Oryctolagus cuniculus: one gene and its partner. Each later gene encodes a partner of the first gene's protein in a complex. Links are inferred from orthologs where the notes say so. Each region holds a gene or a part of one and is shown on either strand. Other genes may lie near its edges. The genes, in order: SENP2 and SUMO3.

Evidence for each region.
Region 2: the proteins of SENP2 (region 1) and SUMO3 are in contact, whole or in part, in a crystal structure (PDB 2IO1), measured with the Homo sapiens proteins. The link is inferred for Oryctolagus cuniculus from reciprocal best matches to the Homo sapiens genes SENP2 and SUMO3. Residues at the interface, in NP_067640.2 of Homo sapiens: Gln385, Asp386, Phe393, Lys394, Leu395, Arg396, Trp410, Leu411, Asn412, Asp413, Glu414, Ser439, Thr440, Phe441, Pro444, Lys445, Arg456, Trp457, Lys459, His474, Lys476, Val477, His478, Trp479, Met497, Gln499, Gln542, Asn544, Gly545, Ser546; in NP_008867.2 of Homo sapiens: Arg55, Arg58, Arg60, Phe61, Asp62, Gly63, Pro65, Asn67, Asp70, Leu75, Asp81, Asp84, Phe86, Gln87, Gln88, Gln89, Thr90, Gly91, Gly92, Val93, Pro94, Glu95.

The regions. Positions count from the first base shown.
Region 1 is NC_091435.1:95,281,630-95,285,432, forward strand, and holds part of SENP2 (sentrin-specific protease 2), read left to right. Parts: intron 1-323; coding exon 324-527; intron 528-1,011; coding exon 1,012-1,091; intron 1,092-3,803. UniProt on the Homo sapiens protein: Protease that catalyzes two essential functions in the SUMO pathway.
Region 2 is NC_091435.1:1,757,220-1,761,502, forward strand, and holds the start of SUMO3 (small ubiquitin-related modifier 3), read left to right. Parts: upstream 1-1,365; 5' UTR 1,366-1,527; coding exon 1,528-1,548; intron 1,549-3,697; coding exon 3,698-3,826; intron 3,827-4,283. UniProt on the Homo sapiens protein: Ubiquitin-like protein which can be covalently attached to target lysines either as a monomer or as a lysine-linked polymer. Does not seem to be involved in protein degradation and may function as an antagonist of ubiquitin in the degradation process.

The DNA of each region.
Region 1 (3,803 bases):
TTGTTTCCATTAGTATTTCTATTTTCTTGTGTGATACAGCTGCAGGTAGTTTTTCATTATTCCACAGTTCTTTCTCTTGTTTGTCTTTGCTACTCATGCCTCAAAAGAACACTTTTATGCATCCTTAATCTCTCCTGTCTCCCAATTTTTTTTTTAATCTTCTGCAGAGACAGTGCTTTCATTCCTTTCATCCCCTTCTCTCATACCTTCCCTTCTCCATATATTAACTTCGCACTTTGTAATTCATCCTTACTTGGGTAGAAATTTAGTTTTCAGTAATATGCTGCCCATATTCCAACTTAGACTCTCTTGCTATTTTACAGGTCATTAATTTTTATATGAATCTTCTGGTTGAAAGAAATAAAAAGCAAGGCTATCCAGTACTTCATGCATTCAGTACTTTCTTCTATCCTAAATTAAAGTCTGGGGGTTACCAAGCAGTGAAAAGATGGACCAAAGGGGTAAATCTCTTTGAACAGGAACTTATTCTGGTGCCTATTCATCGAAAGGTACACTGGAGCCTGGTGGTAAGTTGAGAGGATTAGTTGTTGGGGTTTGGATACAGACTGTTTTCTTAAATAATTAAGGCTACTCTTTTCTGTCCAGTGATAAGACCAGTAAGGATATGTTAAAGGCATGCTGCGTAGAGTACCTTCTGAACAGCTTGGAAAGCTAGGAGACACAGTCCCTATACCTGGAGCTTTCATTCAGTTTTGTTTATAAGATGTTAAACAGATTTATTATAAAAGAATGAAAGTATAAAGAAGAGAACAAACAAAATTCATCATTGAGAGGGCCACTGATACTTTGGTGAATTAGTTTCTAGCCCTTTCTCTAGGAATAGAAATATATATATGTTAACTTACAATGTTTTGTAACTTTTTTTAAATTAAAGAATATGTCCTAGAAATTCATTCATGTTTGATTTTTTCAAAGATGGTTTTAATTTTGGAAATAAAGTTCTTCTGCTATATATAAGATGTTTTTGGATAATGCAATTTTCCATTATAGGTGATGGACCTAAGAAAAAAGTGTCTTAAATATCTGGATTCTATGGGGCAAAAGGGCCACAGGATCTGTGAGATTCTTCTGTAAGTAAAGATTGAAAAACTTCACTACTGTCTCATTAAACCCTTGTTAGGGTTTAATGGTGTTTAACAATCACCATTGTTTTTCTGTTTAATCCTAGGAAGCTCTGGATGGTAGTCTTAATGTACAGTTAAGATTCTCTATCTGTTAGGTCAGAACTTAATTGAATCCATCTTTTTTGGTTTAAATATGATATCTGATCTTTGAGAACATCTTACTTGGTAGCATATTCAATTGAAAACAAGTTTGTCATGTGTTATTATGTAAACTATACCTTGTTCGAATCCTTATCCTGTGATTTGAATGAGATCTCTTTGGATTTGTTACATTATTCTGAATGTCCTAAAGAACTGTTATAGGGAGTATTAGTCCTCTAAATTTTGGAGCCTACTCCATGTCTTTGTGCTTTCATGAGAGTTGGCTTCATCTCATGGAATACAGGGGAAACTTTTAAGTTAATAGTCATCCCCTTACTTCTGGGGATGAGTTCCAAGATCGCTAGTGGGTAGCTGAAACCACAGACTGTTCCCAAACATATCTGTTTTCCCTCTTGCCCTGCAGTGATGCTGTATGGTGCCCAAGTTAACCTGTCTTTCCTTGTCTCATTTGCATCACTACTTTTGTGCTTTGGGGCCATTTAGGTAAAATTAGATTAATTTGAACACAATATGAAAGCATGACAGTTGATTTGATAACAAAGATGGCTACTCAGTGACTGGGCGGGTGGTATATACAGCATGGATAAGCAAGGACAAAGGGTTGATTTATGTCCCAGGCCAGACCAAGTGGACAGTGTGAGATTTCATCATGTTACACAGAACAATGTGCAGTTTAGATGTTATGAAGCATGTATTATTTTTATAAGGTTTATTTAATTATTTGTAAGAGTTAAAGTTGTGTGGAGGGGAAGATCTCTTCCATTTTTACTTTCCAAATGGCTATGATGGCTGGAGGTTGGCCATGCTGAAGCCAGGAGCCAGAGGAGTTTCATCCCAGTCTCTCATATGGGTGGCAGGGGCCCAATTACTTGGACCATTTTTTCCTGCTTTCCCTTGCTAATTAGCAGGGAGCTGGATCAGAAGTGGAGTAACCAGGACTCCAGCTGGTATCCATATGGGATGCCAGCATACAGACTACAGCTTAACTTGCTGTGCCAAGTGCTGGCCCCATGAATTACTTATTTATTTCTGGAATTTCCCTTTATATTTTTGGACTGTGGGTAACTGAAACTACAAATACTGTAGTAATTGCTAGAAACCAGCCTTTAAAGTCTAGCCTCTTATTTCTTTTAAGTGGTAATGTGAATTTTTTTTAAAGATTTATTTTATTTATTTGAAAGAGTTAAAGAGAGAGGTAGAGACAGATAGAGAGGTCTTCCATCTGCTGGTTCACTCCCCAGATAGGTGCAACGGCTGGAATGGCGGTGATCTTAAGCCAGGAGCCAGGAGCCTCCTCCAGGTCTCTCACCGTGGGTGGAGGGGCCCAAGAACTTGGGCCGTCTTCTGCTGCTATCCTAGGCCATAGCGAGAGCTGGATTGGAAGAGGAGCAGCTGGGACTAGAACAGGTGCCCATATGGGATGCCGGCACCTCAGGCCAGGACGTTAACCCACTGCTCCACAGTGCCAGCCCAGTAACATGAGCTTCATAGTGAGAATGCTGTCAGTAAGATGAATCCATTTTGAATCTCTTTTACTTTCTGGAAGCAACTGCAGTTTTCTGCTTTTAACTTTTCTGAGGATAAATGAATTTGTTAAGTTAATCTTGTGAAAGAAGATATGATTACTAAAAATTCAAAAATTTTTAATGTTTTAACATAAAAGACCCTTTTTATTTTTATCTATCTTGATAAACAAACAAACAAACTGAGGCTGGTTTCTAGCAATTACTACAGTAGTTGTAGTTTCAGTTACCCACAGTCCAAAAATATCAAAAGGAACATTCCAGAAATAAATAAATACTTCATGGGGTCAGCACTGTGGCACAGCAAATTAAGCTGCTGCCTGTATGCTGGCATTCCATGTGGACACCAGATTGAGTCCTGGCTGTTCCACTTCTGATCCAGCAATTAGAAACTGGTTATGATACACCAAATTATTTGATCTTTCTGGTATTTTCTGTGTAAGATGTTTATAAAATGTACACATATACATACCTGTATGCGCATACATACATTTATATTACCACATGCATAGAAATTTCTTACTGGAATCACACACAAGAGTATTGGGTGGTGCTTATAACAATACATACTTCTGTTACATTCATATTCCCTCCCTGCTTGCCTACCTTTCTTTTGGAAGGTTCAGTTCCCATGTATCTAAGGTTTACTATGCTCCTAGTCCAGTTTTCTCTGCTTTTTTTTTATTGTCCCCTTCCCCCTGAGACTTTTGTAATTTAATTTCTCCATAACGAGAGACAATAATACTAAGCAATAAGTCATAATTGGTTGAGCTTTAGAGGGCTACAAACCATCGAAATATCTAAAGATTATTACCGCTAAGTACCAGTTTTCACTCCCTTGGGAGCAATGTTACCTTATTTGAGAGTATAGGACCTGGTTGGTCTAATACCAGTTTAACTTATTTTGCAGCTTAGCAGGAAAACTGTAAAATTAATCACTTTCAGTAGTTAAGTATGTCTTCTAAGAATATAAAATTCTGCTACAGTGGTGGGTATTTTAGTGCAGCAGAGTAATCCACCACTTAGGGATACC
Region 2 (4,283 bases), about 94 Mb from region 1:
TGTGGGCTGGGAAGCTGGGTCTGGGCGCACCTCTCACGGCCAGACTTCAGCAGTCTTTTTCTCTCTGATTTTACTTATTTATTGCAGACAGAGAGAAGTCTTCCATCTGCTGCTTCTCTCCGCAACGGCCGAAGCTGCACCGATCCGAAGCCAGGGTCCTGGAGCTTCTTCCGGCCTCCCACATGGCCGCAGGGCCCCAAGGACTTGGGCCTGCTGCTGCTGTCCCAGGCCACAGCAGGGAGCTGGATCGGAAGAGCGGCCGCTGGAAACTGAAGGCGCCCACAGATGCCGGCGCTGCAGGCGGAGGCTCAGCCCCAGCCCCAGCCCCAGCCCCAGCCCCAGTAACCTTTGCTCTTAATGGTGGCCCTGCCCAGACGTTTGAGGGTGGAAGGGGGCTTGGGAGATGCCCTGCGGCTCCGCAGCGTTACCAGGAGGTGAGTGGCACCTGTCTGCTGGCCTGCTCAGGCAGGATGGAAACGGTTCCGAGCCTTGGGCTGCGGCTCATCCTGGTGCCGCCCACCGGCCCCTCCATCCGAGGTGATTAAGGTCGGGGGTGGGCGTGCCTTCCGCGGTTCCGTGGGCCCCCATCTTGCATGGGCCACGCGGCCAGGTGCTCGAGCTCCCACCCGTGGTGACACCCGGCCTGTGGTTTCACCTCCCACCGCCTCGGTTTTCTCATACGTGAATGGGTTGTTGCGAGGACTAGGTGTGGACAGCATTCTAGAAGTCAGCCAAACCACCGGGAGGGGGCTCCCCATGGTGGAGAGTGGACGCCCCAGAGGAGGCGCCGGCCAGGGAAGTGGCCGGGAGGAGAGGACCTGGTGACCCCAGCCCTGTCTGCAGAAGCCTGCGTGATGTGGACAGAGGACACAGGTCCCCTCCAGTCGGGGAAGGGCCTCTCCCGAGCCCCCCCCACCGCCTTTCCTTTACCCCCTAGAGAAATGCAGCCCCGCAGAAGTGGGGGGTGCGTGGCCTGGCCTCGGCCTGCACAGCTCAGAGGCCTGGGGCCGCGCGCGGGCGGGGGGTTCCCAAGGGGACTTGCAGGTGGCTCCAGGGCCCCGAGGCCCGAACTGGACCCTGACCCTGCCCACGTCAGCGCAGCCACTCCGGAGCCCAGGCCTGGCCCTCACGTCCCCGCCCCCAAGCCCGATCCCGGGCCCTGGGCTCCCCCAGCCGTGCACTCCCTGCGCGTCCCCGGGGCCGGGCACCCGCGACAGCCTGCGGCCCCGGGTCCCACGCGCGCCCCCGGGCGCCCAGACTGCGGGGTCGCGCGGGGACCCGCCCCGTGACGCACTTCCAACCGCCGGGAACCGCGGCCCGCCCGGGCGCGCGCCCGACGCCCCAGGGCGCGCGCCTCGTGCACGCGCGCCCGCCACGTGACCTCCCCCGGCCAACCGGCGCGCCGGGATTTGAGGGATAAAGCGCGGCCCCGAGGGCAGTTGCGGCGGGAGAGCGGCGGCCCGGAGAGCGACTGCCCCGCTCGCGCTGCTGCTGCCGCCGCCGCCGCGACCGCGACCGCGCGCAGCCATGTCCGAGGAGAAGCCCAAGGTAAGCCGCGGCCCGCCCGCCGCCCGCCGCCCCGGGGCACCCGCGCCTCCGCTCCTGGCAGGCCCCGTCCCCACCCGCCGTGGCCACGGCGCCCACGAGCCCCGCGCCCGGGCCCACGCCGCACGCCCGCCCCTCCCCCACGGGCCTCCGCGCCCCTCCCCCACCGCGGGCTCCGCGGCGCGCCCCGCCCCGTCCTCGCCCCGCCCCGACAGCGTCTGTCCCGGAGCCCCGCCCCTGCTCTGCACCCGTCGGAGCTCCTCCCCGAGCCCGCCCCCTTCCGCTTCTCGAGCCCCGCCCCTTGCCGGTTTCGAGCCCCTCTAGTCCTAGCCCCGTCCCGTCCTAGCCCCGCCCCCAATAGGTCTCTCCCGGAGACCCGCCCCCTTTCTGGTCTCGGGCCTCTTACGTCATAGCCCCGCCCCGAGAAGCCCCGCCCTGACAGCGTCTCTCCCGAGCCCCGCTCCAAGCCCCGCCTCCTGGCCCCGCCCCCGCTGTGCGCCCCCTGGCGCGCGTCCTCGAGGGCGTGTTCGCGTGGCCCCGTCCTCCGTCCAGGTTTTCCCGCGCGGTGGCCCCTCTCCTGAGAGAGTGGGAGTAGCCGGGGTCGGTAGCCCGCTGCGACCCCGGATGTGCTGCCGTCTCCCAGCGCGGCCCCGGGGTGCGGCCCTTCCCCGTCACAGCCCCAGGGTGCTCCCCCTCCCCGTCATAGCCCCAGGGTGCTCCCCCTCCCCGTCATGGCCCCGGGGTGCGCCCCCTCTCCCTCTAGGTCCCAGGGTGTGCCCACCTCCCTGTCACAGTCCCAGGGTGCTCCCACTCCCCGTCACAGCCCCAGGGTGCTCCCCCTCTCCCTCTAGGTCCCAGGGTGCGCCCACCTCCCTGTCACAGTCCCAGGGTGCTCCCACTCCCCGTCGCCGCCCTGGGGTGCGCCCCCTCCCTGTCACAGCCCCAGGGTGCTCCCCGTCCCCGTCACAGCCCCAGGGTGCTCCCCCTCCCCGTCACGGTCCCGGGGTGCTCCCCCTCTCCCTCTAGGTCCCAGGGTGCACCCCTCCCCGTCACAGCCCCAGGGTGCTCCCCCTCTCCCTCTAGGTCCCAGGGTGCTCCCATCGTCCCGGCCTGGGGTGGGCCCCTTCCTGTCCCGCCCCGAGGGCTGCCCTGGGTCAGGCCGGCAGTCCTTGGGTAGGTGGAGGCGGAAGCTCCGGTCTCTGAGCACGTGCTGGGGACCTGGGGCTCCGTGCTGGGGACCTGGGGCTCCTGCTGCAGCTGGGGTCAGAGGTGAGCAGCCCCCTTCACAGGTGAGGGAGGAGGCTGGAGCCCAGCCCCTGGCCGGGCCCTGCTTGGGTGAGGGAGGAAAGCCGGCATCTGGCCACAGCCTCTAACGTGTGCCCAGGGCAGGGCCCCCCGGCCCAGGTCCTCGCCCATGGCATAAACTTGCCGGTGGACGCCAGCTCTGCTCTGGCCGTGGGGCGTGGGCGTGCGGGGAGGCAGCCTTGTGGTCAGATGGGAAAACCATTTCTGCCCCCCAGAATACTGACCACAATGAATTGGGGCAATTGGTTTTAGGACTTCTTTTCCTCTTTTAAAAAAAGATTTTTTTCTCTCTGTCTCTCACTGTCCACTCTGCCTGTCAAAAAAAAAAAAAAAAAGATTTTAAAGTGTGTTTACTTGAGAGTCAGAGACACAGAGAGAGGGTCTCCCGTCGGCCCTGTGCGTATCCCAGATGCCTGCAACGGCGGGGCTGGGGCCGGGAGCTGGCAGCCCCACGCACGTGTCCGCACCTGCCCGGGCCGCATGGCCCTCCTGGCCGCTGCCGCGTGGACCGCAGCTTCCCTCCCTCCTGTCAACACTGCCTTCTGCTTCTCTGAAGTCACGCACAGCTGCGTGCAGTGTGTGGTTCTGTTAGTTTTGTAAAAGTGACTTTCAAACGAAGATGGGTTTTCCGACTTCTCCTGGGCCCTGCAGGCTCGGGCGTGCTGCTCCCCCGGGACGCCCAGCGGCTGGGGGTGAAAGTCCGTTCTGTGCCAAAACAAAGCAGCCGCCTGCTGGAGGGGCCTGGACGGAGGCGCCGGTTAGGTGGTGGCCATGACGTCAGTGAAGCCCGGCGCCCCTCAGCTCCTGGAGAGCGCCGGATCCTTAGAGGTGTTTCCTGTCCCTGCAGGAGGGCGTGAAGACCGAGAATGACCACATCAACCTGAAGGTGGCCGGGCAGGACGGCTCCGTGGTGCAGTTCAAGATCAAGAGGCACACCCCACTGAGCAAGCTGATGAAGGCCTACTGCGAGCGGCAGGTGCGGCGCCCCCCGGCTGCCTTGCCCAGGGGCCTTGCCCAGGGGTCTCGTCCCGGTGGCCCTGTAAACGGACAGGTGGCGCTCACCGTGGCGGGCCCTTCTGCTGAGACGCCCTCTGGGGCAGGTGCGGCGCCCCCCGGCTGCCTTGCCCAGGGGTCTCGTCCCGGTGCCCCTGTAAACGGACAGGTGGCGCTCACCGCGGGCGGGCCCTTCTGCTGAGACGCCCTCTGGGGCCGGTGCCTTCCGATGCACTGCCGGGCAGGTCCCGCGTCGCTCCTCGCCTTACTTCTGCCCGTCAGCAGTGTGCTTTGCCAGCTCGTTTAGCAACGGCGAGAAAATGATGGATCTCCCCCAGTTTCCCAAACAGCGAGCCGCCTCAGCAGCACCCCCCTGTGGTCAGTCAGAACGGCCGTTTCTGGTGGCTAGCGTTCGTCTCACCAGCTCATGGGTCGTACAC